5 linked regions of the Macaca fascicularis genome follow. The protein of the gene in region 1 binds, or shares a complex with, the protein of each later gene. Links are inferred from orthologs where the notes say so. Each region holds a gene or a part of one and is shown in the gene's direction. Other genes may lie near its edges.

Region 1 (6,130 bases):
GAGAATCACTTGGGGTCAAGAGTTCAAGACCAGCCAGGGCAACCTACTGAGACTCCCCTCCCCCTCGCCCTGTATTTAAAAAAAAAAAGAAAGAAAGGGAGATATAGGAAAGGGAAGGGAGGGTTGGGTGGTCTCTTCGATGAGATGATTCCTTCCTTCCTTCCTCCCTTCCTTCTTTTTTTTGAAACAGAGTTTCACTCTTGTGGCCCAGGCTGGAGTGCAATGGCTCACTGTAACCTCTACCTCCCGGTTCAAGCGATTCTCCTGCGTCAGCATCCCAAGTAGCTGGGATTACAGGCGTCTGCCACCACACCCAGCTGATTTTTGTATTTTTAATAGAGACAGGGTTTTGCCATGTTGGCCAGGTTGGTCACGAACTCTTTTTTTTCTTTTGGGGCAGAGTACTGTGTCGTCCAGGCTGGAGTGCAATGGCGCCATCTCGGCTCACTGCAACCTTCGCCTCCCAGGTTCAAGTAGCTGGGATTACAGGTGTGCGTCACCATGCCCAGCTCATTTTTGTATTTTTAGTAGAGACAGGGTTTCAGCATGTTGGCCAGGCTGGTCTGGGACTCCTGACCTCAAGTGATCCTCCCGCCTCAGCCTCTAAAAGTGCTGGGATTACAGGCGTGAGCCACCACGCCTGGCCTGATGTGATTTTTTTTTTTTTTTTTTTCTGAGATAGACTCTTGCTCTGTCACCCTGGCTGGAGTGCAGTGGCACGATCTCAACTCACTGCAACCTCTGTCTCCCAGATTCAAGTGATTCTTCTGCCTCAGCCTCCTGAGTAGCTGGGACTACAGGTGCCTACCACCATACCCGGCTAATTTTTGTATTTTAGTAGATATAGGGTTTCACCATGTTGGCCAAGCTGGTCTCGAACTCTGGACCTCAGGTGATCCACCCACCTCTGCCTCCCAAAGTGATGGGATTACAGGCATGCACCACTGCGCCCGGCCCAATGTGGTGATTTCTAAGTAGGGATCTGAGGGAGTAAGGAGCCAGCCAGTGGCTGTCTGAGGGAGACTGTCCCTGGCAGAGCGAACCGCTAATGCCAGTACCAGGTTCTGGGCCAAACAGAAAGAATCTTGGGCTCTCACTACATATATATATTTTATATATATAATATATATACTTTATATATATTATATATACTTTATATTATATATGCTTTATATATGTATAACATATATATTTATATATTATATATACTTTATATATGTATAACATATACTTTATATATAATATATACTTTATATATGTATTGTATATGTAATATGTATGTTGGGGTTTTTTTTTTGAGATGGGGTCTTGCTCTGTTGCTCAGACTGGAGTGTGGGCTTACGCAATCCTCCTGCCTCAGCCTCCGCAGTAGCTGAGACTACAGGTGCATGACCACCACACTTGGCTAATTTTAAAATTTTTTTGTAGAGATGGGGTGTCACTGTAGTGCCCAGAGTGGTCTCCAACTCCTGGCCTCAAGCAATCCTCCCACCTCAGCCTTCGAAAGTGCTGGGATCACAGGTGTGAGCCATGGTGCTTTGCCTTCATATTTTGAATAGGCCGAAACAGAACTCCAGAATCCCCTTACCCCTATCCCCACCACCCCACATAGCAGGTTTCTCTCGCTCTGTAGCAACCCACTTACCTCTCTGAAATCATCCCAGGCGTGTTCGGAGTGCACGCAGCCCCGTTAGCCTCCCGGTCTTCTCCTGTAACCAGCCCAGCTCTGCCTGAGAGCTTCCACTATTCCCTCCATCTGGAATACCCACCACTCTCTCCCACCCCGGGCTTGGATCTGGCAATACGGTACCAGCCTCAGGGCCTCTGCTGTCCGGCTTTCTGCTCTCAGAGCCTTTGTCACTGGGCTGGGAGCTCCAATATGATAAATGCATAGCCCGGGGCTAAGACCATCAAGGGAACCCAGTAAGTTGGCTCCCGAAAGAGAACTAGAAGCTTCGTTTGCATTGCACGTTATTTAATATTGAGGAAAATATAATTAGCCCGTATCTAAGCATTGGGGTGAGAGCGCTAAAGATTGACCCCACCCACCTCCCACTCCTCACTTCCAGCCGTAAGCCACTTCCGGACAAGGCTAAAAATGAGTAAAACAATGCAACTACTCGCCACCTATCCTTCCCCAAGTTCCACCCTCCGAGCCTCAAGCCCCACGCCCTCCTAAATATCCCCGCCCCCGCTGGGACCCCAAATTGCCTAGAGCTCTGCAATTCCGCCCTTCCCGGCAGCGGGACCGAAAGGGTTAAGCGGAGGCTCCCGGCTCGCTGAGTGACAGCTTGGCCGGCAGCCGGGGAGAGCCGGCCAATCAGGGAGGGCGTACGCGACCCACGTGCGCAAACGGCCTCACGATTGGCCAGCGCCGCCAGATGCCTGCCCACCCCGAGCCCGAACCCACGTGCAGCTACTGCGCCTTCATTGATCCGCTTCGCGGTCCAGGTGGCGGCTGGGTGGGGCCTGGGCGGGACGGGGCAGGGACAGGGCGGGACAAGGCGGGGCCCGATGGGTCAAATGGCCCCCGGTGGGGGAAGGAGGAGTTTCCTCTTGGCCTGAACTTGGCTGACCTCGGCAGCTTCCGCCCTGTGAGGGACGTGAGTTGCCAGGCGTTTTCCTGGGGGTTGGGGGGACTCCAAGATTCCCGGGCCGGGGAAGGGGCTGCAGGGGTGTGGAAGGGCAGGACTGAGGCAAGGAAGGAGCTTGGTGCTGCAGCTGGGATGCAGGTGGAGGGAAGTCGTTTCTTCTGTCCGATGAATTCCGCCTAATGCACCTGGCTAACTCCTATTCATCCTTCAAAACCCCTTTCTAGTGATCTCCCTGCACTTTAGGAAATTGTCTCAAAACTAAGGTTGAGCTTTGGTGACCTTCCCTGGGCTCCCCCAGCAGGGAGTGTATGTGCACCATCCACCCCAACCTCCTAGGGTGAGGCCTGGGAGGCAGGGTTCAGTTCTTTCTGGGTCCCCGGCCCCACGAATCTGGGCAGCTGGAGGCATTGATAAGTGAGGACGGGACCTAGGGAACGCATGGGGGAACCGCAGGACTGGGGCCCTGGAGACTTACCAAACCGGGAGGTGCAGGTGGGGTAAGGGGTGGCTCCCTCCCTGACACTGCCTTATTTTCTGTCCTTCAAGACCTGCTGTCTCCTTGTTTTAGACTTTGGCTAAAGTCCTGGAGGCTACTGCCTGAAGATGACCTCTAGGGACCAGCCTAGCCCCAAAAGCCCCCCGAAAGGCACTTCGGTGAGGAGGGCATGGGGTGGGATCAGCCCTCAAGGGAAACCCAGCTCAGCCCAATGAGGTTCTGCCCCTTTCTCATCCTGTATCCACCTGTGACCTGGGCTGGCCTCGTCCAGGCCTCACAGCTGAAGACAATACCGGTCACTGCTACATTCAAGACAGGTGCCAAGGAGCCTTTTTTTTTTTTAAAAAAATTAAGTGTAGGCTGGACACAGTGGCTCACAACTGTGATCTCAACATTTTGGGAGGCCGAGGTAGGAGGATCATTTGAGCCCAGGAGTTTGAGACCAGCCTGGACAACGTAATGAGACCCCCGTCTCTACAAAAACAATTAAAAGAATCAGCTGGGCCTAGTGACATGGGCCTGCCTGTAGTTGTAGCTACCCAGGAGGCTGAGGCAGAGGCTTCGCTTGAGCCCAAGGAGTTTGAGGCATTGCACTTCAGCCTTGGTGACAAAGTGAGATCCCATCTTTAAAAAAAATGTAGCTTCTAATCACATACGTGATAAAAAACACAGGAACACAGCACGTATTTGGTTAATATTTTACAAGCAATCCGGGCTCCCTGTACTTTATGTCCCAGAGATGACCATTTGTAAATTTAGGCTCTCAGGGCTGAGCAAACTCTCTTTTTTGTAAAGGGGTCAGATGAGGAATATTTTGTTTTGAGACTTTATGACTTTATTGTTTTTGAGACGGAGTCTCACACTGTCACCTCGGCTGGAGTGCAATGGCGCAATCTCGGCTCACCGCAACCTCCGCCTCCCGGGTTCAAGTGATTCTCCTGCCTCACCTCCCGAGTCGCTGGGACTACAGGCACCTGCCACCATGACCACCAGTTTTTTTTTTGTATTTTTAGTAGAGATGGGGTTTCGCCATGTTGGCCAGTCTGGTCTTGAGCTCCTGACCTCGTGATCTGCCCACCTCAGCCTCCCAAAGTGCTGGGATTACAGGCGTGAGCCACTGCACCTGGCCAAGAGACTTTATTTTATTGAGTCTTGCTCTTGTCGCCCAGGCTGGAGTGCAGTGGCACGATCTTGGCTCACTGCAACCTCCACCTCCCAGGTTCAAATGATTCTCCTGCCTCAACCTCCCCAGTAGCTGGGATTACAGGTGTGTGCCACCATGCCCGGCTAATTTTTGTATTTTTAGTAGAGACAGGGTTTTGCTGAGTTGCCTCGACTTGTCTCAAACTCCTGACCTCAGGTGATCTGCTCACCTCGGCCTCCCAAAGTGCTGGGATTACAGGCGTGAACCACCTTGCCTGGCCTTTTATTTTTAAAAATATTTTGTGCTTCTATTTTCATCACAAGAATGTGGTGAATATTTTAGACTTTAGGCCAAAGTGCAAAATGGAAGATGCTCTTTCAGGTACTGAAATAAGAGGACGGGCGCAGTGGTTCATGCCTGTAATTCTAGCACTTTGGGAGGCCGAGGCGGGTGGATCACGAGGTCAGGAGGTTGAGATCAGCCTGGCCAAGATGGTGAAACCCCATCTCTACTAAAAATACAAAAATTAGCCAGGCATGGTGGGAGGCGTCTGTAATCCCAGCTACTAGGAAGGCTGAGGCAGGAGAATCACTTGAACCTGGGAGGCAGATGTTGCAGTGAGCTGAGATTGTGCCCCTGCACTCTAGCCTAGGTGACAGCAAGACTTGGTTTCAAAAACAAAAACAAAAACCACAATTACTTTTGCATCAACCTAATACCTATACTCTGGTTGAGATGGAGACCTGGGGTCTTGAGTGTTTGGGGCATTGTAAGTTTTTTTTTTTGTTTTTTTGTTTTGAGATAGTCTCGCTCTGTCACCCAGGCTGGAGTGCAGTGGCACAATCTGGGCTCACTGCAAGCTCCGCCTCCCGGTTTCACGCCATTCTCCTGCCTCAGCCTCCCGAGAAGCTGGGACTACAGGCGCCCGCCACCGCGCCCGGCTAGTTTTTTGTATTTTTTTTTTTTTTAAGTAGAGACAGGGTTTCACCGTGTTAGCCAGGATGGTCTCGATCTCCTGACCTCGTGATCCGCCCGTCTCAGCCTCCCAAAGTGCTGGGATTACAGGCGTGAGCCACCCGCGCCCGGCCAGGGCATTGTAAGTTTTATGTAACCTTGCTTTGACCTTTCCAGCCCCATCCTGGGATCTCGAACTCTGAGAGCTCTCCACCACTGAATTATCAAGGCATTCTAAATCGGCTCAAGCAATTCCCCAGGTGAGAGCAATTCCAGGGGCTGGCGGTCCCACGCTGGGAAGGGGTCCCACCTGGCCTCTCTCCTTGGGGTCCTAGTGAGTGGTCTAGAAACTGCTGGCCCAAGAGACAGGCTCAGGAACAGGAAGCCATGCGGATACCCAGCGTGGAGAACCCAGCAATATCCATCCCAGCTTTCGTTTCATATGTTGATTTTCCTGTGCAACATGGATTTGTTGGCATTCAATTTTATTGTTGAAAAATACTGCAATGGCTGGGTGTGGTGGCTCGCACCTGCAATCCCAGTACTTTGGGAGGCAGAGGCGGGCGGATCCCTTGAGGTCAGGAGCTCGAGATCAACCTGGCCAACATGGTAAAAGCCTGTCTCTACAAAAAATACAAAAATTAGCCAGGCGTGGTGGCGGGTGCCTGTAATCCCAGCTGAGGCAGGAGAATCTCTTGAACCCAGGAGGCGGAGGATTGCAGTGAGCCGTGTTCACACCGCTGCACTCTAGCCTAGGCTACAGAGTGAGACTCCGTCTCAAAAAAAAAAAATATGTATATATATATATATACTGCATGGGCTGGGTGCAATGGTTTGTACCTGTAATCCCAGCACTTTGGGAGGCAGAGGCAGGAGGATCGCTTGAGCCCGGAGTTTAATACCAGCCTTGGCAACATAGTGAGGCACCATATCTTAAAAAAT
Region 2 (5,425 bases), about 60 Mb from region 1:
AATTGCGCCACTGCGCTCCAGCCTGGGCAACAGAGCAAGACTCTATCTCAAACAAAACAAACAAAAACCTTGTGTTACTGAAGCAGGTTCCTTGACACCAGGTTTGGACGGGTTTGGATGGATTAAGCTCTTCAAGGCAGGGATTGTTAATACTGCTTCATACGCTATTCCCAGTAGCTGGCCCATCACAGGCACTCAGGTATTCGTTGCTTTACAAGGAAATACAATTAGAAATTTGCAAGTTAGAATGGGAGAAGGATGGGAAGGATAAGTGAGGTCACAACAAAACGTCACCAGTGTCACATGCATCTCCCGTTTCCCGTCTCCTGCAGGTTTAGGAACGCACAGATTGCCTCTGGTCTGCAGCACCTCTGGAGAACCCTCATTGCCAACCGTAACCTAAGATCCCTCAATTTGGGAGGCACCCACCTGAAGGAAGAGGATGTAAGGATGGCGTGTGAAGCCTTAAAACACCCAAAATGTTTGTTGGAGTCTTTGAGGTGCGTCTCTGGTAGGGCTTTTGCCTTTTGTTTCTTCGTTTTTGCTTTTGTTGGAAATAATTACAGAAAGAGGCAAAAATTAAAGAGCTGAAAAAGTTTTGGTGGTGGATGGGGGTGATGGTTGCAGGAGTTTAATGCCACTGAATTGCACACCTAAATAATTAAAATAGTCCATTTTCGGTTATAAATACTTTATCACAATAAAAAAAACCCTCAAAGTTTCATTTAAAAATTTTTATGCTTGGGAGGCCGAGGCGGGGACAGATCACAAGGTCAAGAGATCAAGATCATCCTGGCTAACACGGTGAAACCTCGTCTCTACTAAAAATACAAAAAAAAAATTAGCCGGGCGTGGTGGCGGGTGCCTGTAGTCCCAGCTAATCAGGAGGCTAAGGCAGGAGAATGGCCTGAACCTAGGAAGCAGAGCTTGCAGTGAGCCGAGAGGGCACCACTGCACTCCAGCCTGGGTGACAGAGCGAGATTCCATCTCAAAAGAAAAAGAAAAAGAAAAAAATTATGCAGAGGCAAGGTCTCGTTCGGTTGCCCAGTCTGGTCTGTTTTTTTGTTTGTTTGTTTGTTTGTTTGTTTTTGAGACGGAGTCTCGCTCTGTTGCCCAGGCTGGAGTGCAGTGGTGCGATCTCGGCTCACTGCAAGCTCTGCCTACCCGGTTCATGCCATTCTCCTGCCTGAGCCTCCCGAGTAGCTGGGACTACAGGTGCCCGCCACCACGACCGGCTCATTTTTTGTATTTTTCTTTTTTTTTTTTTTTTTAGTAGAGACACAGGGTTTCACCATATTAGCCAGGATGGTCTTGATCTCCTGACCTCATGATCCGTGCACCTCAGCCTCCCAAGGTGCTGGGATTACAGGCGTGAGCCACCATGCCCGGCCTTGACAATGCTCTTACAGTGAAATCAGTGTGGTATGTCGTCGCCTGAGACGGGCTTTGCTCCGTCAGTGCTTGAGATCCACCCAAGCAGTCAAGTGTTCGACATTTTCTTCCTTTCTCTTGGCGACAGCCATTCGATGCTATGAAGTACTGCAGTTGAACCATTCCCCTGTCCAGGGACACGTTGGTTGGTTGGTTGGTTCCGGTTTGGGGCTCTCACTGTGGTTTGCAAGTCCTGGGAAGGTGGTTTGTTCATTAGATTAGCTTGGTCTAGAGATACAACTATTTAATGTTTATGTAGTATTCTTTTCCTTTTTTCTTTTCCTTTTTTTTTTTTTTTTTTTTTGAGACTGAATCTAGCTCAGTTGCTCAGGTTGGTGTGCAGTGGTGTGATCTCAGCTCACTGCAACCTCTGCCTCCCGGGTTCAAGTGATTCTCCTGCCTCAGCCTCCCGAGTAGCTGGGATTACAGGCGTGCCACCACCACACTTGGCTAATTTTTGTATTTTTAGTAGAGATGGGGGTTTTACCATGTTGGCCAGGCTGGACTCGAACTTCTGACCTGAAGTGATCCACCTGCTGCACCCTCCCAAATATTCTGAGACAGACAAGTACAAGCCCTGCTTTGAGCTTTGTTAGTTGGCACATCAACTAACATCAAAGAATAATAAGAATTTGCTTTGCACCGTGTGTGTTTGCCTGGTAGCCAAGGAACTGTACTTTAAAAAGATGTAACCCAGGGAAATTGGCCAAAGCATAGACATCGTCTCAGGACGGAAATGCTGTGCCTGACCTCACGTGGGGTTTATCTGGGAACAGATTGGAGGAAGCTACATGCTCACTCTTTTGCTCACTCTGCACCACAAGTGCAGAGAGCTGGAGCTTGGATTCAAAGAATAAATATACACGTTGTCAGAAAAGATGGATCTAGGCTATTTGGGGCCAAGAAAGGAAAAAGCATTGAAGTCACTTAGGTCCAGTTTCCTGGAAGTCTAATGAATTTCCCTTCTCATAACACACAGGGGCAGGGGTATTGTTCTATTCTCTTCACTCCTGTAGCCCCAGAACCTAGAACTGCTCTATTCCCAACACTTGGCCCGTATTCCCCAAAGTATTTATTGTACAGAGGGATGGGATGATGAGCTAAGTCTCTAAACGGTAGACTTTGACATTGAAAGATGGATTGGGCCACATTGTGAAGGGTTTCCATTCACTGTCACGTTGAGGAGTTGGAACTTTCCTTTATTCAATAATGACAGATGCTTGATTCTGTGTGTAGTACTACGACAAGTTCCTGGGATGTGCTGATGAATGAAACGAGATTCCTGCTCTCCTGATGCTCACAGGCCAGCACAGGGAGAACAAAACAAGACAGAAAGAATGATGTGTGCACACATGGCAGGAGCATGTGTAGGCTTGGAGAGCTCTAAAAGTTCTGCCTAAAATTCAACACAGGCCAGGCACAGTGGTTCACGCCTGTAATCCCAGCACCTTGGGAGGCTGAGGCAGGTGGATCACCTGAGGTCGGGTGTTCAAAACCAGACTTGCCAACATGGTGAAACCCCGTCTCTACTAAAAATACAAAAATTAGCCAGGTGTGGTGGAGGACACCTGTAATCCCAGCTACTCGGGAGGTTGAGGCAGGAGACTTGCTTGAACCCGGGAGGCGGAGGTTACAGTGAGCCAAGACTGAGCCACTGCGCTCCAGCCTGGGTGACGAGAGCAAGACCCTGTCTCAAAAAAAAATAATAATAAAAGGCTGGGGTGCGTTGCTATGAATGTTGAAACAAGGGAGGGAGGTGGGGCAGGCACTGTTTAAGGTGTGGCTTACCCGAAAGGCGACCTTCAAGAGACATGAACGAGAACATGAGCCCCATGAAGACCTGAGGGAGGGGGAAGGAGGGGAGGTTGCAATGGAAGGAATAGCAAATTTTCAGGCCCAGAGGCAGGAGCAGACAGAGTCCGAGGACCAGGAAAATGGCCAGTGCCACTGGCGTGTGCTGAGTAGAGGGGAAATGGGCTGCTTTGGGCGAGAGCTGCGATTGCTTCATGCTGCCTGTCTCTGCAGGCTGGATCGCTGTGGATTGACCCACACCTGTTACCTGAAGATCTCCCAAATCCTTACGGCCTCTCCCAGCCTGAAGTCTCTGAGCCTGGCAGGAAATGAGGTGACAGACCAGGGAGTGACGCCTCTCAGTGATGCCTTGAGGGTCTCCCAGTGCGCCCTGCAGAAGCTGACGTGAGTGCCACTTCCTTTCCACCGGGATTATGGTAACTTCGATTCTCCAGTCATGGTGGGAGGGGAATGAGCAGATGCACAAACAGGGTGAGGAAGGAAGTTGGGACCTCCCGAGACTGCCCCCAGAGTCAGGGCGTAAGAGTGACCTGATAAACATCTGTTCTTGCCGCCAAACTCTAAAGGGGAGATACAAGGTGGAAGCGGGAATCAGTCAGATGGAAATTGAATAATGATCTTCCCTCCTGATAAAGCTCTCTTGGGCGTGAGGCTTATGTGTGCAGCTTACACTGTGGGTTAGTGAGTGCTTGTCCCCATGACTGGAGAGAGATGCCCGCCCACTCAGTCACTCAACGTGGGTGGGGGTCAGGCTCCCCTCTGCCTGGTAAAGTCCAGGCCAGAGCTCATGCATTCTGGGCTTCTGGGCACAGAGAGGCTCAAAAAGGAGGGTCCCAAAATCCCAATCCCACCTCCTCCTCTGGAGACAAGGGAGCCCAGAGCAGGGATGAGCCCAGGCCTGTGGTGTTCTAGCAGAAATGCCTCCAAGTGGAAATGCGAGGGGCGGCAGTTCCGCACCCTGACGCCTAAAGGGATATCACCTTTTTCCTTTTCCGTGTCAGAGTTTTGCTGTTGCCCAGGCTGAGTGCAGTGGTAAGATCCTAGCTCACTGCAGCCTCGACCTCTTGGGCCCAAGCGATCCTCCTGCCTTGTCCTCCCGAAGTTCTAGGACTACAGGTGTGAGTAGTGCCTGGCCCAAAGGACATGACTTGCTTACTGATAACTGATCTAGGGAGGGGGAGGAGAAGCAGCAGCAGAGTTACAGCACCCACTATTCAGTGCTCACTGAGCTGTGCCAAGCACTGCGCTAAAATCCCTCCAACCCTTCCTCGCTGAGTTCTCAGAACAGGTCTACGGAACAGGTGCTGTTGATAACCCAGTTGACAGATGACACAGCTTCGGAAAGGCTGTGTCACTTGTCCCACAGTTGGATGGTGCTTGGATGGTGATGCCGGGAGTCAAGGGTGGGTCTGATTCAGCTGAGCCGCCCAGTGTGGCAGCCAGTATCCACATGTGGCCAGCCAAATCTAAGTTAAATGGGGACGTCAGTTTCCTCATCACACTAGACCCATGTCAAGAACTCAGTACCCATGTGGGGCTAGCAGCTCCCATTCGGGACAGCACAGCTCTAGGTGACCTTTAATCTTAGCTGGATGGCAGTGCTGGTGTCACCAATGAGACATCCAGGCTTAGAGGGTGACGGCGTGAGGCCCCATCACACCCTGAGCTCTCAGTCTTGGGTGTCATATTCTCAACGGGAAGGGGCTTTCACTCCATGTAGCAGACTGTGTCTGGAATCACTTCAGTGCTACATAAAAAGCTGCTTAAATGGCCAGGTGTGGTGGCTCACGCCTGTAATCCCAGTGCTTTGGGAGGCTGAGGCGGGCGGATCACCTGAGGTCAGCAGTTCAAGACCAGCCTGGCCAATGTGGTGAAACCCCATCTCTACTAAAAATACAAAAAAATTAGTTGGGCGTGGTGGAGGGCACCTGTAATCCCAGCTACTCAGGAGGCTGAGGCAGGAGACTGCTTGAACCCAGGAGGCAGAGGTTGCAGTGAGCCAAGGTCATGCCATTGCACTCCAGCCTGGGCAACAAGAGTGAAACTCCGCCTCAAAAAAAAAAAAAAAAAAAAACTTTCTAAGCTTTAAAAAAGCAGACAGAGTATGTAGTTTATGTCTCAGGGTCATGATGTGTTAAATGTACTGTTTTGGGGGGTGGTCTTGCTCTCTGTTTACCCAGCT
Region 3 (5,119 bases), on another chromosome or scaffold:
TCGCCCAGGATGGAGTGCAATGGTACGATCTTGGCTCACCGCAACCTCCGCCTCCCGGGTTCAAGCGATCCTCCTGCCTCAGCCTCGCGAGTAGCTCGAATTACAGGCCCCTGCCATCATGCCTGGCTAATTTTTGTATTTTTAGTAGAGATGGGGTTTCACCATGTTGGCCAGGCTAGTCTTGAACTGCTGGCCTCAGGTGATGTGCCCGCCTTGGCCTCCCAAATTGCTGGGATTACATGCATGAGCCACTACACCCGGCTTGTTTTTTTTTTTTTTTTTTTTTTTTGAGACGGAGTCTCGCTCTGTCACCCAGGCTGGAGTGCAGTGGCCAGATTTCAGCTCACTGCAAGCTCCGCCTCCCGGGTTCCCGCCATTCTCCTGCCTCAGCCTCCCGAGTAGCTGGGACCACAGGCGCCGCCACCTCGCCCGGCTAATTTTTTGTGTTTTTAGTAGAGACGGGGTTTCGCCGTGTTAGCCAGGATGGTCTCGATCTCCTGACCTTGTGATCTGCCCGTCTCGGCCTCCCAAAGTGCTGGGCTTACAGGCTTGAGCCACCGCGCCCGGCCCCGGCTTGTTTTTTGACTTTTTAATAAAAGCCATTGTGACTGGTGTATGATGGTATATCGGTGTGATTTTAATTTGCATTCCTCTTCTGATTAGTGATACTGAGCATTTTTCATGTGTTTGTTGGCTGCCTGTATTTCTTCTTTGGAGAAACATTTCTTCATGTTCCTTGTCCAGTTTTGTTTGTTTGTTTCTTTGTTTTGTGGAGACAGAGTCTCACTCTATCCCGCAGACTGGAATACAGGCTCATTGCAACCTCTGCCTCCCACGTTCAAGCGATTCTCATGCCTCAGCTTTCGGAGTAGCTGGGATTACAGGCGCCAGTCAGCACGCCTGGCTAATTTTTGTATTTTTAGTAGAGAAAGGATTTCGCCATGTTGGCCAGGCTGCTCTAGAACTGCTGGCGTGAGCCACCGCATCCGGCTTTGCCCAGTTTTTAATGGGGTTGTTTTTTCTTGTTGTTTTGCAAAGTACTTTAATTGTCTCAATTAGCAAGTAAGAATTTCCCAACTACTAAATCATTCCTATATATTAAATATATTCGGCCGGCTGGGCGCGGCCTGAATATATACATTTGGTCTATTAATGTGGCAAACCTGAAGTTCTCTTTAGTGTTTCAATACTGAATAAAAATAAATTATAAATTATTATTTATCTTATAGCAACACAGTTAAAAGTTATTATTTTCACACTTTTTTTTTTTGTTTTGTTTTAGTAGAGGTGGAGTTTCACCGTGTTAGCCAGGATGGTCTCGATCTCCTGACCTCATGATCCACCCGCCTCAGCCTCCCAAGGTGCTAGGATTACAGGCGTGAGCCGCCGCACCTGGCTCAGTTATTATTATTTTTTGAGACAGGGTCTTACTCTGTCACCCCGCGGGGAGTGCAGAGGCACCATCACTGCTTACTGTAGCCTCAGCCTCTCTGGGATCAGGTGATTGTCCCACCTCAGCCTTCCCAGTAGCTGGGACTACAGGGGTGTGCAACTTCGCCCAGCTAATTTTTGTATTTTTTTTGTAGCGATAGGGTTTTATCATTTTGCCCAGGCCAGAAGGATTGCTTGAGACCAGCTTGGGCAACATAATGAACCCTTGTCAGAAAGAGAAGGGGAAAAGAAAGGAAAGGAAAAGGGAAAGGAGAAAGGAAAGGAAGGATGAGACAAATATAATTGTGTTATTTAGAGAACAGAGGCATCACTGGGCATGGTGTCAGAGGCTTGTAGTCCCTGCTACTGGGGCAGCTGAAGAGGGAGGATCTCTTGAGCCCAGGAGTTGGAGGCTGCAGTGAGCTATAATCACACCACTGCCCTCTAGCCTGGGTGACAGAGATCCTGTCTCCAATTTAAAAAATTAAAAATAAAAAAGAACAGAGATGTCAAAAATTTTCAAGGAATCTCCTCTGGTGTCCAAACCACGAGAACCATCTGTGGTTAGGTGTGTTCATTGCTGCATTAATTAAAAGCGCTTTATAGTCCCACCACTGGGGAGGCTAAAGAGGGAGGATTTTTTTCAGCCCTGGAGTTCAAAGCCAACCTGGGCAACATAGCCAGACCCCATAACTTTTTTTCTATCCCCCCCTTTTTTTTACTATGCAAATCTCACTACACAGACCCTATAGCAAAACAAAACAAAACAAAAAGGCGGGCGCTTATTCTGCTCTGTACTCAGCTGTCTCAGGCAAGTGACAGAATAATCTGAAAACCTGGTGCCAGAGGGAGAAAACGTAGTGGCCAGGGATCAGAAGCGAGTGAGGGACGTATGAAGTATTCATTCTGCAAGTATCAGTTCCTTCCTCTGGGAGAGATACTGGGCTTGTCCACGCCTTCCTGAGTCCATGGTTAAGACTCCCGCTGGGCACCAGCGGATTCCTGGTGCCCAGAGCCCGGTTCCTCCTACCGGGTGCGCTGGGGAAAGGGCTGCTCCTGACAGAAGAGACACTGAGAGCAACGCAGGAACCGGTGCACTTGCGCTGCCTCGGAAAAAGCCGGGGCTCCTGGAGGCGGAGGCGAGGCCTGGGACCCAATGAGAAGGGCGCGGTTGGAGAGGAGGGGCTGGCCAAAAGCACTTTAAATAAGGCCCAGGCGAAACCGCAGTTCTAGTCGCCTAGCTCCAGCTTGGCCTTTGGGTTTGCTGTGGTGGTCTTGTCTCCTGCAGGACCGGGCGCAGCATGGACACTCCCAGGCGGTTTCCGACGCTCGTGCAACTGATGCAGCCAAAAGCAATGCCAGTCGAGGTGCTTGGTCACCTTCCTAAGCGGTTCTCCTGGTTCCACTCTGAGTTCCTGAAGAATCCGAAGGTAGTTCGCCTGGAGGTTTGGCTGGTGGAAAAGATCTTCGGTGAGTGGAGCAAGGAGGGGCAGCCCCTATGCGGCTTCTTTCTGCCGCCCACACCCACATCCCACTGCGTTCCAGGGCAAGCCTCCCCAGTAGCCAATGCCCTCTGGCTGTCTCCTCCTTCCACTTTCCCCTCCCAAGACCCCCGGGAGCCACCCAACCCTCACAGCCTCTCTACTACCCGCGCAGGCAGGGACCGAGAACGCATCCCGCACGTCCAGGGTATGTCCCAAATCTTGATTCATGTGAATCGGTTGGACCCTAACGGCGAGGCTGAGATCTTGGTATTTGGGAGGCCTTCTTACCAGGAGGACACAATCAAGATGATCATGAACTTGGCTGACTATCACCGACAGCTCCAGGCGAAAGGTACGGGGCTGGGAATGGGGCTACCTGGAGCAAACCCTGGCTCCGTAGGAGTGATCCTGGGGTTTCCTGGCTGCTGGGGCTGCAGTCTCGCCCTCCCAGTCTGCCCCCGGTTAGTGGGTGGGAGACGGGGCGGTTGCCATGGATCCAGAAGGCCAAAGTGAACCCGCGTTCTGGGATTCCTGGTTCCTACTCCCGCAGGCCGCTTGGGTGACTGTCCTTTTTTGGAGAGGATATAGGGACACAGCTGTGGCCTCCGCACACTGCTCTTCTTTCAGGCTCAGGAAAGGCCCTCGCCCAGGATGTCGCCACTAAGAAGGCCGAGATCCAGCTGTCTTCAGCAGAAGTCCGGGAGGCCGGGACCCAGCGTTCGGTGGAGGTCCGGGAGGTCGGGACACAGGGTTCTCCGGTGGAGGTGCGGGAGACCGGGACCCAGCAGTCTCTCGAGGCTGCCAACCAGTCCGGGACCCAGCGATCCCCCGAAGCTGCCAGCAAGGCAGTGACCCAGCGGTTTCGCGAGGATACCCGGGCCCCAGTTACCAGATTATGAAGGCATCTCGGGCCCTGGAGCCAGAGCCAGTCAGGGGTTAAAGTGAAAGCCCGTACTTCGCCCAGAAGCTGCGGTTGGGAGGAGGATGATGTGGATTTTTTGTTTTACCCCTTCTGTTGAATGGTTGCAAACACAAACTTGAGTTCTAATAAAAAATTGCAAACTAGAAGCCGCCCCCTACTTCAGCCCCTGAAGCCGGGGTAAGGGTGGATGATGTGGATTGGTTTTTTTTACCCCTTCTGTTGAATGGCTGCAAACACAAACCTGAGTTCTAATAAATAATTGCAAAGTGGAAGCCCCCCGCTACTTTAGACCAGGAAGCCGGGGTGGCGGGGGAGGTTGACGTGGATTGTTTTTGTTTTACACCTTCTGTTGAGTGGTTGTCAACACAAACTTGAGTTCTGATAAACAATTGCATTTCCCTGACGTCTGTATTTTGGAAGGTAGAGGGGAGGGAAAGGCGTATTCCTCCAACAGCCCAGTTCTGCCCTGCGCCGCTCTTTACCTCGAGACAGGTGGGGCTTCTGGCTCCCAGCCGCCCGGGGTCGCAATCTTCCCTGGCTGTGGTCCGCTGTGCCACTTGTACTCCTTAACCGCGCGCATCTGGCTTTAACAGGTGAGAAGCTTCTCTGGCCCACTAGGAAACCTCTCCAAGCCCGCTGTGGTTCTACTCAAGGTGACTTGGGATGAGAAAACCGGGTCGCTTGGGGGCCAGCTGGATTTGGAAGGCCCTGCGTGTATGGCGACGCTGCCACAGAACACTTTCCCCGCTGGGGAAAATTACCTCGGGGAAGGGGGAAACGAAGAGAGCCGAGCTGCACTCTCCGGCTGCACTGTTGCCGTCTTCAGGTCTTGCTTGGGTCACCCACCTTCCAGGAAGGTCTTGGACACCAGCAAGATACAGGCACCGGCTACTCTTTCCTCAGTTACTACGGCAGCGAGGAGCCTGAGCAGAGAACACTTTGGCTTCCCGGGTCACAGCTCTGGTCAGGGCACTGGGATGCAGGTCCCTGAGCCTGCGAATTAATCTAGAAGAATGCAAGCCAACAGCTGGGTGCTAGGATTAAACAATAGCATGCAGTAATTCTGTAATTAGGATTTAATTAGGATTTTTTTTTTTTAACCAAGAATCACTGATAATTTTCATTTTATTTTGGAGATGGAGTCTCGCTCTGTCCCCCAGGCTGGAGTGCAGTGGCCCCATCTCACCTCAACACAACCTCTGCCTCCCGGTTTCAAACAATTCTCCTGCCTCAGCCTCCCCAGTTGCTGGGACTACAGGCCCGCGCCACCACGCCCAGCTAA
Region 4 (4,998 bases), on another chromosome or scaffold:
TTTATCTACAGCAGTGTAAGTGCATCTCATGATTAGATTGAGGTTTTAAATTTTTTTAGATTTATTTTTGGAGTCTCGCTCTGTCACCCAAGCAGGAGTACAGTGGTGTGATCATGGCTCACTGCATCCTCAAACCCCTTGGCTCAAGCGATCTGCTGGCCTCTGCCTCATAAAGTGCTGGGATTACAGGCGTGAGCCACAATATCTGACCTTGATTAGGTTAAGGTGTTTTTCTGTTTTTGTTTTTTGTGTTTTTTTTGAGATGGACTCTCACTCTGTCGTCCAGGCTGGAGTGTAGTGGTGCCATCTTGGCTCACTGCAACCTCTGCCTCTGGGGTTCAAGCAATTCTCCTGCCTCAGCCTCTCGTGTAGCTGGGATTGCAGGTAACCACCACACACCCGGCTTTTTCTTTTTTTTCTGAGATGGAGTTTTGCTGTTGTTGCCCAGGCTGGAGTGCAATGGTGTGATCTCGGCTCACCGCAACCTCCGCCTCCTGGGTTCAAGCGATTCTCCTGCCCCAGCCTCCCGAGTAGCTAGGATTATAGGCATGCGCCACTATGCCCGGTTAATTTTTTGTATTTTTAGTAGAGACTAGGTTTCTCCATGTTGGTCAGGCTGGTCTCGAACTCCTGACCTCAGGTGATCCACCCGCCTCAGTCTCCCAAAGTGCTGGGATTACAGGCGTGAGCCACTGTGTCTGGCCCACACCCATCTAATTTTTGTATTTTTAGTAGAGATGGGTTTTCTCCATGTTGGTCAGGCTGGTCTCAAACTCCTGACCTCAAGTGATCCTCCTGCCTTGGCCTCCCAAAGTGCTGGGATTATAGGCGTGAGTCACCTTGCCTGGCCAGGTTAAGGTTTTAAATGTTCATTGCATCACAGCCATAGCTAAATCTAGTTTTCCTGTAAGTATGCCCTACACATCTGATAGTAAGGTTTTCTCAGCAACCATTGAGGGTGAGAGGGGGTGGGCTCAGGGGCAGAAAACTGGAGCCTCCACACAGTCCTAGATGATCATGTGGAATCTGGAACATGCTTTCCACTATTTTGAGTTTTTTCCTCTAGGCTGGCTGTGGTGGCTCACACCTGTAATCCCAGCACTTTGGGAGGCCAAAGTGAGAGAGGACTGCTTGAGCCTAGGAGTTCAAAACCAGCCTGGCAACATAGTGGGACCCTGTCTCTACAAACAGACAGACAACAACAACAGAAGAGCTGGAAAATAGCTGGGTGTGGTGGCAGGCACCTGTGGTCTCAGCTACTCAGGAGGCTGAGACAGGAGGGTCACTTAGGCCTGGGAGGTCGAGGCTTCAGTGAACCGAGATCATGCCACTGCATTCCAGCCCAGGCAACAGACTGAGACCTATCTCAGAAAAATAGAAAATAGTTTTAAAACAAACACATAGTTAATCGTAAGAACAAAATAGTATTTTCAGCAGATACTATCTATTCTGAAACAACTACAAAACAATATTTCTAGAAATATAGTAGAAAATGTGTAAAGACATGCATGGGGATGATATATACACACTAGCTTCAAGATAATTTCCTCTGGAGAGGAAAAGGAAAGATGCTTGAGTAATATCTATTTTAAAAACAGAGAAGTGAGGCAAATGTGGGGAAATGTCAATATCTGTTAAACTGGGGGAGGGTACAGGGCTGTGCTATATTACTTTTTTGGATGTGTGAAACCTTTCTTTTTTTTTTTAATTAAAAAAAATTTTTAATTAAAATTACGAACACTGGGAAAAAATTCATTGATACTGGTTGTCTTAGGATACTGGAAATAAAGGAAAATTGTCTAACTTGCTACATGTTCTATAAGACCACCTCCGACGTTTTGTTTAAAACATGATACACTTGCTTGAATGATTTAAAAATGGTAACCATCCGGAGAGTCAGAAGATAACAGCATGGGGCAGAAGAGAGAAAACCGACACATTCAACAAGCCTGCCCTGGGTCCAATCTACCTATCTCTGGGAGGTAACGATGAAACCTTAACCTATCCAGCAAAGGCGATTCCCAGTCAGCAGAGTCGTCAATTCAAACTCACAGTGTTAATCAGCTATAAGGTGGGCAGAAGTCTTTCAGGCTAAGTATATCTTACGAGGCAAAGATGACGAAGGAGAGCGTTGGAGACCCAACAGGAGGCCAGATGCATACTAGTTCAAAGTCAAAGAGGCAATCCCGGCGACTGAGGCAGCACAGGAAGTGCCCGATGTGCCGCTAGGCCAGGGCGTCGATTGCACCAGCTCACCCCGACGCGGTGCTAGGCGCCGCCGGAAGGGGCGGAGCGGGTGGAATATGGTAAAAGAGAGTCCGAGCTTCGCGCCTGGGTCTGGAGGAGGTCCCGCGAAAGCCACCTCGAGCGCGCTCCGCGGCTGCTGGTCCCAGTATGGTCGATGACGCTGGTGCTGCTGAGTCCCAGCGGGGCAAACAGACCCCGGCCGACTCCCTGGAGCAGCTGCGTATGTTACCACTTCCGCCGCCGCAGATTCGCATCCGGCCTTGGTGGTTTCCGGTGCAGGAACTGGGAGACCCTTTGGTGTTCTACCTGGAGGCATGGCTGGCAGACGAGCTCTTTGGTGAGCGACCCCAGGTGTGCTAGTGGGCTGTCCACCTCCAGTCTGAGAGAAACTCGGCAGAGCAGCTCTCTACAGCTTCTTTCCCAGATTCGCAAGCCAAAAGTGTTGCAGTGATTGCCCACCTTCCAGCTCTTCCCTTCCCTGGCCAACGTTCCCTTAAAATTCAGCTTGTAACTTGCCACCGTGCGGCCCCTCAGAGTCTTTCCTTACTTGTTTAGGCCCGGACCGAGCCATGATTCCAGAAATGGAATGGACGAGCCAGGCCCTGATGACAGTGGACATAGTGGACTCTGGGAACCTAGTCGAAATCACCGTTTTTGGACGGCCCAGTGTACAGAATCGGGTGAAGAGCATGCTCCTGTGCCTGGCATCGTTTCACCGAGAACATCGTGCCCGAGGTGAGGGTCTTTGAGAACCTGCATGTGGAGGAAGCCACGAGTGACTGTACTGGCCTTGCTCGGTTTCCTTCCATCCTCCCTTAACCTTCTCAGAATTTCTTGGTTTCCAGACCCCAGGGGCTGCACGAAGTTTGTTGGGAGGGGATCCCGGGGTAGGACCTTGGGAAAGTCAGCGGAGATCTGATACATTCAGGCCCATCACTGCCCAAGTCAGCCTCAGCTGGGTTACGACGCTATCGCAGATCCCAGGTTCGGAGCCTCCACCGCAGGTCTTTCTCTCCTCCCCAACTCCCAATCACTGAGTAGTTCGAAACAGCGAACCGTTTTCCCTGTCCATGGTTAGCATCAACTGCTTCTCTTCCAGCTGAGAAGATGAAACACCTTGAGAAGAACTTGAAGGCCCATGCATCAGACCCCCACTCTCCCCAGGATCCTGTTGCTTAAGACAACATAGTTACTGTCGGGAACATCTTAAGAACTTTCCAACTTTTTCTGCTAAAGTTGAAGAGAAGCAAGTATAGCATTCCTAAATCCCTGCATTCCTTTTTCCTGTGTCTTGATGGAATGTGGTTTATTTTGTTGCAAGAGTGAGCTTGAACTATTCTAATAAAGAAATGGCTATTTTGCCAATGGCATTAAGATCTTCACACACTTATAATAAAGCAAATTTATAAAAGATTGACTCTTATGTTTTGATATGAAGGGTGGGCAGAAGGCTGGCAGGTTGTAGTTTTGTAGGTTTTTGTTTTTGTTTTTTTGTTTTTGTTTTGTTTTTTTCTTCCTGAATTCCCATCATTTTGAAACTCCTAATCCTTCTATGATTTTATGGTCAGAATGAGGCCCTCACCCACAGGGGGCAGATATGCAGGGGCAGATAACCTCCCAAATGGTGATCTGTTTTGTTTTTACATAATTGGCTCTCAAACTTTAAAGCTTGTAAAAAATCACCTTGGGAGCTTGTTAAAACACAATTTCCTAGGCTCATTCTCCAGAGAATTCTGATTCAGTACTGTTGGGGTGGGGCTTGTAATTTGCATTTCTGATGAGCTCACAGGTACTACCAAAGCAGCTTATCTGAGGCTCTCACTTTGCAGCTGGTAATTGACCCTCCAAAGAGCACCAGCTGTGCGTTTTCCTGGAGTGGGCTGTCCGTCTGGCACAGGATGACATTCCAACAAGCAGGCCTGGGCGGTCAGCATTCATTAATGGTAGCTTTGTGATTCACCACGGAAGAAAAGGGATCCCTGGCACCTTGGCTTGTGGATGGCGCCCTGCCTTGGAGCCGGCTGTCTCCCTTTTTCTGCAAGGCGAGGCTGCACAGGTGTCCAGCATGGGCAAGATTGTTTTTCCATTACGTGTTGTACTGAGATTACCAATCTCTGCAAAACAGCTCCTATCCTTGCTGCCCCACTTTCTGGAAGTAGAATTTTTGGGGTGAAAGGTGTCAAAAGCCCTGTGGCTTCAAGCGCAATTAGGATTGGTTTGAGACTCATGGAATTTATGCATTCCTTGGCAATAAAGTGTTCTAGCCTTTTGCAAGCGTTTTAAACTCAAGTCTCTTTAATTGTACATTTTTGATTAGAGGTGATGTTGAATGTTTTCTTTGTTTCAGTTTTACATTTTTCTGTATTAATTCCTTTCTTGACTTCTTTCAACTGGTGAAGATAAGGATTTTTATTTATCTCTATAAGCTTTTGTAACAATGGTCTGTTATTACCAGCATTTTCCACCCTCTTACATTTTTTTTTTGCATGTGAAAGATTTTTATTTTATGTAGTTAAATCAATTACTGTTTCCTGTGTGTTCTCCCATATCCCCACCCTCTTAAGTTTAAGAGCTCCTAATTTTCTCCCATAGAAATTTGATTCTTTCAAGTTTTTCCTGGTGTGATTTTTAATGTATGTTTGTTTATTTATTTATTTATTTAGAGATGGAGTCTTGCTCTGTCATCCAGGCTGGAGTGCAGTGGTGTGATCTCAGCTCACTACAACCTCTGCCTCCCTGATTTAAGCAATT
Region 5 (6,158 bases), on another chromosome or scaffold:
CACGCCTGTAATCCCAGCACTTTGGGAGGCTGAGGCGGAGGGATCATGAGGTCAGGAGTTCGACACCAGTCTGACTAATATGGTGAAACACCATCTCTACTAAAAATACAAAAATCAGCTGGGCGTGGTGGCGCATGCCTGTAATCCCAGGTACTCAAGAGGCTGAGGCAGGAGAATCGCTTGAACCCGGGAGGCAGAGGTTGCAGTGAGCCGAGATTGCTCCACTACACTCCAGCCTGGGCTACAGAGCGAGACTTCATCTCAAAAAAAAAAAAAAAAGAGAGTAGTAGCAACCCTTATAATCAAATCCTTTCTCTCCAGTGCTCAGAAAATGAAAGTTTTCTGCTGTCTTTAGAACCTTGTCTGCTAACAGCTCTGATATGTTAACATGGCTTTATGGTTTACAGAGGTCACTTCTTGGCTTCTTGGTTTCCAGGCCCCTAACCTTGAAGGAGACGCAGCCCGAGGGCTTGACCATAATGTCAAAGAACACGATGAGATTGACCATGGCCAGCAGTAGAGTACTCCTGGCGGCAGCAGCGTCTGCAAAGCTCACTTTTTTTTTTTTTTAATATGGATTTTCGCTGTTGTTGCCCAGGCTGGAGTGCAATGGCACCATCTCAGCTCACTGCAACCCCCGTCTCCCAGGTTCAAGCGATTCTCCTGCCTCAGCCTCCCCAGTAGCTGGGATTACAGGCGCTCAGCTAATTTTTGTATTTTTAGTAGAGATGGGGTTTCGCCACATTAGCCAGGCTGGTCTTGAACTCCCGACCTCAGATGATCCACCCGCTTCGGCCTCCCAAAGTGTTGGGATTACAGGTGTGAGTCACCAAGACCAGCCAAAGCTCATTTCCTTTTTTTTTTTTTTTTTTTTGAGATGGAGTCTCGCTCTGTCACCCATGCTGGAGTGCAGTGGCACGATCTCAGCTCACTGCAACCTCAAAGCTCACGTCTTATTGACTTCTAGCATACTGTACATATCTTGCCTATTTTCTTGGGAAGGGATTTTTTTCTGTTTTGTTCACTACTGTACCTTGTGGCTTAGAATAGGGCTTGGAACACAGTAGCTTCTCACAGATAATTGTTGAATACATAAAGTAAATAAAATGTGTAGTCAAAACTATGGGGCCTGCAGGCATGGTGGCTCACATCTGTAATCCCAGCACTTTGGGAGGCCGAGGCGTGAGGATCGCTCGAGCCCAGGAGTTCGAGACTAGCATGGGCAACAAAGCTAGACCCTCGTCTCTACAAAAAACAAAACAAAGCAAAAAAACCTAGTCTATCTTTAAGCTACGTGGAATAATATGAACGAGAATATATCAGCGTGACCTCAGTAGGTACGTATGCCTAGGAGGGGAGAGAAGGGCTGGACAACTAAGCCCCAGACACAGCCCGTTAAGGCGTGGAGTAGGCTCCTGGTAGCTGAACTGAATCTTTAGCACTCCACTCTGGAGAGGAAGAAGGGGTTCTCCAGGGTCAGCCAGCAGGCAGCTGCATCCTTTCTGGAAACCAACCAGTGTGGCCAGCCGGTATTTGTCGTTCGTCCTTGTTTTCACCTAGTCAGGCCCAAGAGCCTCAAGGTGGGGTGGGGGGTTAGTGGAAGCTCGTAGGGGGAGGAGGTGACAGTCCCCCGAGTCTGGCCCCTTAATTCAGCCATCCCGCGGGCAGGCACCACACTGAGAGTCTGGATCTACAAAGGACGCGCCTCCTATCCTTCCCCCACCACGACCTGCTACGTGATCTCGGAAACAGGGTCTAGGACTGAGGCCCCTGCCCCCTCCTCTCGTAATTTCCCGGAGAATATGGGGCGGGGCGGTGAATCAGCACTCGCAGGGACTGATGCAGCCCTGATCCCCGCCAGGGGTCCCCAGCGGCCTCGGGATTCGAACCACCCCCCAGTCCTCCTGCGCCTGCGCGCTACCTCCGCTGGGAGTTGTAGTCTTGACCGCCCCTTTGTCCTCGGTCTTCTCAACGCCTCAGCCCACGGCAGGTTACACTACAACTCCCAAGGGCCCATGCGTCGGAGGCCTGGCGGGGCGGGGGGCTGAAGGGAGAGGGATAAGGGGGCGTCTGGAGAAGCTGGGGTGAGGGAACTGAGGAGTGAAGTGAATAAAGAGGAGAGTGGGGGCGCAGTGGGAAAGGACGTGGTGCCCGGAAGACGCGCAGTGAGCCGAGTTGGGGAGCGGGGAGCTCTAGCCGCGGCCGGGCCCGGGCGGGGCCTGGGCGGGGCTTGCGGACGAGCGGGCGGGGCCTGCCTGCGTCATGCGGCGTGGGCGGGGCCGCAGGGGGTTGTCCGTCCGTGGCACGCACAGCAGCCGCAGCCGCCTCGCTCCCGGTCCCGCGGTCGCAGCTCCAGCCGCCTCCTCCGCGCAGCCGCCGCCTCAGCCGCTCGCTCCGTGGGTCGGTCCTCTCCGGCACTTGGGCTCCAATCGCGCCCTCCAAGCCCTTCACGCCACCCCAGTGTCCTCCTCCTTCTCCGGCCAGACCCAGCTCCGCGAAGATGGTGGACCGCGAGCAACTGGTGCAGAAAGCCCGGCTGGCCGAGCAGGCGGAGCGCTACGACGACATGGCCGCGGCCATGAAGAACGTGAGTGTCTCCTCCCCTCCCCCGCCGCTCCCTGCCCCTCCGAAGACGCGGTCCTTGGCGTGGAAGGCCCGGGGCTTCGTCGCCCTGTCGCGATGGTGGGGTGACCGCCCCGTCTCGCTCACTGAGGGGGGCCGGGGAGGGTCCCCAGAGCCGACGGGAACACGGGCTGTGACGCGGCCTCTCCTCGGCGTCCCCGGGGCCCCGCGGCGCGGCCTCTCTGGCCCGGCGCGGGCGCGGGGCGGGGCGGGGTCCCGCGGGGCTGGACTTGGGAGCGGGGTCTCCGGTCCCAGCGGCTCTAGGGGTACAGGGGATCCGAGCGGGGAGGCGTGCGCATCCTTTGTGCCCCACTTCCCCCCTCCTCCCAGCCCGGGCGTGGGGGCGGGGGACCGCATGGATGCGGTTCCTCTTTCTCTCCCTGGTGTCTGGGCGGCGCCTTTCCCATTCACTCAGCAGGTCTCCCGGTTTTCCACCTCCCCAGCCCCCCCAAAATCTTCCCCACTGTCTGTCCCGACAGATCCCTGTGAATCTTCCCAGAAACATTGTATAGGGTCTCTTGAAAACCTGAGCTCCGTGGCGCAAAATCGAAACCACCTTGCTCACGTTTTTCTTAACAAAAGGCTCTTCTTTCTCCATTCCCCCAAAGCAAGTCCTCCGGCTTTTAGGAAGGGGGAACGTTTGTCTCGCTAGCGTTTTCGTTGATCGTTTTCAACATGTCATCTCCATTTTATTCCCTAATGTTTTTGTATTGAAAAGGGTAGGTATTGCCTGTAAAATAAAAGGTGGTGAATGTAGCTGACTGGTTCGATCCGTGTGACATATGCCGTTTCTTTTTTGAATACAGGCACGCGTCTGTGAAATTCCTATAAGTTGGGGGAAAAAATATTCTGTCTGATCTGATAGTGCAAACAAAGCGGTGGTGAGAGGCAGTATCAAGTCATTCCAGAAGATTCTGCATTTGTCATATTGCAGAGAGCCTAGACTGGGTGGAGGCTGGGAGGAGTTATTTTAAAGGGGAAAAAGTCTTTTTAAAAATTTTTGGTCGTTAGATGCATCTGAGGCTTTTTTTTTTTTTTTTTTTTTTTTAAAGCGAGTACGTCTTCATGCTGATGAAAAGAGAATACTGATCTCCAGTTGTCGCATTTTGTCTGGGTTGCAGATTCCTCCCTGTATTGCACCATTTTGTCAGTAACACTACATTTATCTAATGGGCTGTCAACCAGTTTGATATTAGAGGAGGGGGAAGTATTGAACATTATGAAATGAAAGGTAGAAAATTAATGATTTCGGGCCCCCACTATCTTAATATTTAATTTCCTGCCTTATGTAACAAAGGTTTTTCAAATGCATCTCCATTGTGAAGTGGATGCTGGAGTGTACCTTGCATGTTACATCTTTTAAATGAAGCATTATTGATATTACAGATCAATTCTTGAATAACTTTACTGGTTCTCAAAAGAGGACAATGCTGATACCTTTACATTTAAACCAGGTATTTTAACAAAGAAATGTTTTTGTCTTATTAAAGAAGAGAACCGGTTCTGAAATTCGGAATACTGCTATGGCCACAGCTGCTGTCTTACAAGGTTTTAATGCTCAAATGATGTAAGTTGCACTTCTAATGGGTATCAGTATTGGAAATATCTTCAGTTCGTGTTATTTAATTTAGACTCTTCTAATTTTTCCGTATTTCTAGTTCCACAGGAAAGCGAGTGACCTCGCACCTATATCTATAGCAACCAAGTGATGTCACACACAATGACACAGAGGCTGCAATGCACCTAAGGGCTGGTAGGGAGTGTGCAAATGGCATTTATCCAAGGTAATGCAGAAATTAGCCGATAAGCCAGGTGGAATCGAGCACTTCATATTCCACCAGATAAGAATTAGTCCAAAAAATAAGGATTTCATTTACCCTTAAACATGCAGATCCCTGACCTCTAGCTAGGCCTTGTTCACCCTATTGCTAGCTTTCTCACAAAAGTTTATAAGATGCTTTTTTTATATTTTTAAACATTCATCTCACTTATTTAAAATACTGGGCAATAATGGAATAAAAGTAGAAATTTTAAACGATAATATATTTTATGGAATGAAAGTAGAAATTTTAAACAAGAATATAGTTTACGATAATAGTGCAGAGATGAGATGTGTACTTGTGTTTATTTCAGATAATGAATTTGGCAGGTTTTAATAAAAACCTTAAAAAAATGATGACTTTCTACTGAGTCATTTTCAGTTACTGTTAGGGAATGAGAACCAGTTCCAAAACCTTTTAAATCGAGGTTTGGGAAGTTTGTTTTTTACTAGATTTGTGCTTCTGCTCCTTCACAGTATAGAGGAAAGAACAGTTTGTAAAATAAAAACCTTTTTTCAACTCTGTTTCCTGTGACTTTAAGGAAATAGGCTCTGTCCCTCATTTTCCTCATCTATAAAATGGGACAGTACTTGAAAAAGTTGTGCGGATTCAATAAGAAATGTAGTAGGTGTTCCCAAATGGCAACTACCTAAGAAATTGTCTTCCTGTTTATAAAAGTCATCATGGAGAATTTGGAAACTGCAGAGAAAGAACCCAGTCTTACCACTCAAGTGAGCTCTCTTTTAAGGCCGAAATCATCCTGTTGATGGATTAAAATTTATTTGAGTTTAATGAAATTATCCTAGTGCTAACACTATTGGAATCTGTGCAGAATGATAGTTCTGTGTGGGCAACCAGGACAGAAATACTGTATTATCCAGTATTTTGAAAAGAAGGAAAGAGGAATGTTAGGTCTTTTAAGACACTTGTTTAGTCTTGTATTGAAGGAGATTGAATACCTAGATGTATCCTACGTATTAGACAATACTGTCTTGTCCTTTGACTTTTAATAGTCTCTTGAGAAGTTAATATTTTAAGTAGGCTACTGGTACTTGCCTCGGGGGGAGAAAAGGTTCAGGGCTACTAATTTTGTTGAAGTTACTGGGTTAAGCAGTTTAATTCAGTGAGGGGTGGTGGGGGCAAAGGTGGCAAAAGGCTATCGTAATTTTTCTAAATCTTCCTAGTGGGATCAGTAGACTTTCAAATTCTTACTATCTTAAATATTCCATTCCCTAGCCACCCCCCCGCCCAGCTTTTCCAGGAGATCAATAGCCATTATCACTAATGGAGTAATGGTACCTCTGTAGACTCTTCAGAGGTGGAGTTCTGCCAACCATTATTCTGAGTCATGTGGCTTGAATTGTTCTCTTCTTGAGGGAAAGAATACAGATCATACAGCTTGCTATTCATGTGTTAGCCTTCACAGTAACTGAAGCAGATATTACGTATTTTTCCGATTATTTTGGAAATCTCCTATGTGTCTTTTGAATTCTACTGAGATTCAACATGGTGCTAAATGTTCATCCTCATTGCAGTCCTGGATTAACTGCAGACCTTGGGTAGGAGTTCATCTCTTATATTCAGGGAAGCCTTATTTATTAAGCCACTCTCTGAATTATTGAAAAGAGTGAAGAAAACGTTGTGTTTTTATTGAGGTAGAAGTTGCATAACATAACTTTAACATAGTCACATCACATTTCAAATGTGCCGTTGAGT

What was found.
Region 2: the proteins of TLE6 (region 1) and NLRP5 are in contact, whole or in part, in a cryo-EM structure (PDB 8H94), measured with the Mus musculus proteins. The link is inferred for Macaca fascicularis from reciprocal best matches to the Homo sapiens genes TLE6 and NLRP5. Residues at the interface, in NP_444484.1 of Mus musculus: Pro147, Gln148, Pro149, Val150, Cys158, Gln159, Phe161, Leu162, Ile163, Gly165, Leu166, Trp167, Leu169, Phe170, Ser173, Arg174, Gln175, Lys176, Asn177, Ala247, Asp248, Lys249, Phe250, Lys252, Pro253, Ser255, Trp256, Leu261, Glu262, Cys265; in NP_035990.1 of Mus musculus: Gln185, Phe188, His283, Arg307, Glu326, Lys327, Lys329, Ser330, Ser334, Pro335, Leu336, Met444, Ala447, Glu448, Trp451, Tyr465, Tyr507, Tyr508, Glu511, Glu515, Asn517, Phe520, Phe522, Leu540, Met543, Lys544, Leu547, Val571, Lys574, Leu575.
Region 3: TLE6 (region 1) and KHDC3L share a complex: the UniProt entries of both Homo sapiens proteins name them as parts of the subcortical maternal complex. The link is inferred for Macaca fascicularis from reciprocal best matches to the Homo sapiens genes TLE6 and KHDC3L.
Region 4: the proteins of TLE6 (region 1) and OOEP are in contact, whole or in part, in a cryo-EM structure (PDB 8H94), measured with the Mus musculus proteins. The link is inferred for Macaca fascicularis from reciprocal best matches to the Homo sapiens genes TLE6 and OOEP. Residues at the interface, in NP_444484.1 of Mus musculus: Trp256, Ser258, Phe304, Thr305, Arg306, His307, Val318, Asn320, Val322, Asn323, Glu332, Ser333, Asn354, Ser355, Arg356, Leu373, Ala374, Ala375, Pro376, Ser377, Leu378; in NP_080756.1 of Mus musculus: Arg32, Pro33, Trp34, Trp35, Pro37, Gln39, Glu40, Glu67, Trp70, Met71, Gln73, Gln94, Pro95.
Region 5: the proteins of TLE6 (region 1) and YWHAG are in contact, whole or in part, in a cryo-EM structure (PDB 8XI3), measured with the Mus musculus proteins. The link is inferred for Macaca fascicularis from reciprocal best matches to the Homo sapiens genes TLE6 and YWHAG. Residues at the interface, in NP_444484.1 of Mus musculus: Phe137, Leu138, Ser139, Glu140, Ser141, Asp142, Leu144, Gln145, Leu295, Arg347, Asn430, Leu447, Gln470, Met472, Asn489, Asp510, Asn511, Thr512, Met530, Pro553, Arg555; in NP_061359.2 of Mus musculus: Lys50, Arg57, Arg61, Lys125, Asp129, Arg132, Tyr133, Gly174, Leu177, Asn178, Val181, Glu185, Phe201, Asp202, Ile205, Ala206, Leu208, Asp209, Glu213, Tyr216, Lys217, Thr220, Leu221, Ile222, Met223, Gln224, Leu225, Arg227, Asp228, Asn229.

What each region holds. Positions count from the first base shown.
Region 1 is NC_088393.1:3,674,336-3,680,465, forward strand, and holds the start of TLE6 (transducin-like enhancer protein 6), read left to right. Parts: upstream 1-2,548; 5' UTR 2,549-2,603; intron 2,604-3,140; 5' UTR 3,141-3,197; coding exon 3,198-3,248; intron 3,249-5,365; coding exon 5,366-5,448; intron 5,449-6,130. UniProt on the Homo sapiens protein: Component of the subcortical maternal complex (SCMC), a multiprotein complex that plays a key role in early embryonic development.
Region 2 is NC_088393.1:63,996,982-64,002,406, forward strand, and holds part of NLRP5 (NACHT, LRR and PYD domains-containing protein 5), read left to right. Parts: intron 1-332; coding exon 333-500; intron 501-3,456; coding exon 3,457-3,627; intron 3,628-5,425. UniProt on the Homo sapiens protein: Component of the subcortical maternal complex (SCMC), a multiprotein complex that plays a key role in early embryonic development.
Region 3 is NC_088378.1:101,686,528-101,691,646, reverse strand, and holds KHDC3L (KH domain-containing protein 3), read left to right. Parts: upstream 1-2,660; 5' UTR 2,661-2,732; coding exon 2,733-2,901; intron 2,902-3,087; coding exon 3,088-3,267; intron 3,268-3,542; coding exon 3,543-3,814; 3' UTR 3,815-3,980; downstream 3,981-5,119. UniProt on the Homo sapiens protein: Component of the subcortical maternal complex (SCMC), a multiprotein complex that plays a key role in early embryonic development.
Region 4 is NC_088378.1:101,679,761-101,684,758, forward strand, and holds OOEP (oocyte-expressed protein homolog), read left to right. Parts: upstream 1-2,334; 5' UTR 2,335-2,394; coding exon 2,395-2,584; exon of another isoform or gene 2,585-2,598; intron 2,599-2,802; coding exon 2,803-2,982; intron 2,983-3,346; coding exon 3,347-3,426; 3' UTR 3,427-3,660; downstream 3,661-4,998. UniProt on the Homo sapiens protein: Component of the subcortical maternal complex (SCMC), a multiprotein complex that plays a key role in early embryonic development.
Region 5 is NC_088377.1:51,375,257-51,381,414, forward strand, and holds the start of YWHAG (14-3-3 protein gamma), read left to right. Parts: upstream 1-2,317; 5' UTR 2,318-2,500; coding exon 2,501-2,587; intron 2,588-2,827; exon of another isoform or gene 2,828-4,406; intron 4,407-6,158. UniProt on the Homo sapiens protein: Adapter protein implicated in the regulation of a large spectrum of both general and specialized signaling pathways. Binds to a large number of partners, usually by recognition of a phosphoserine or phosphothreonine motif.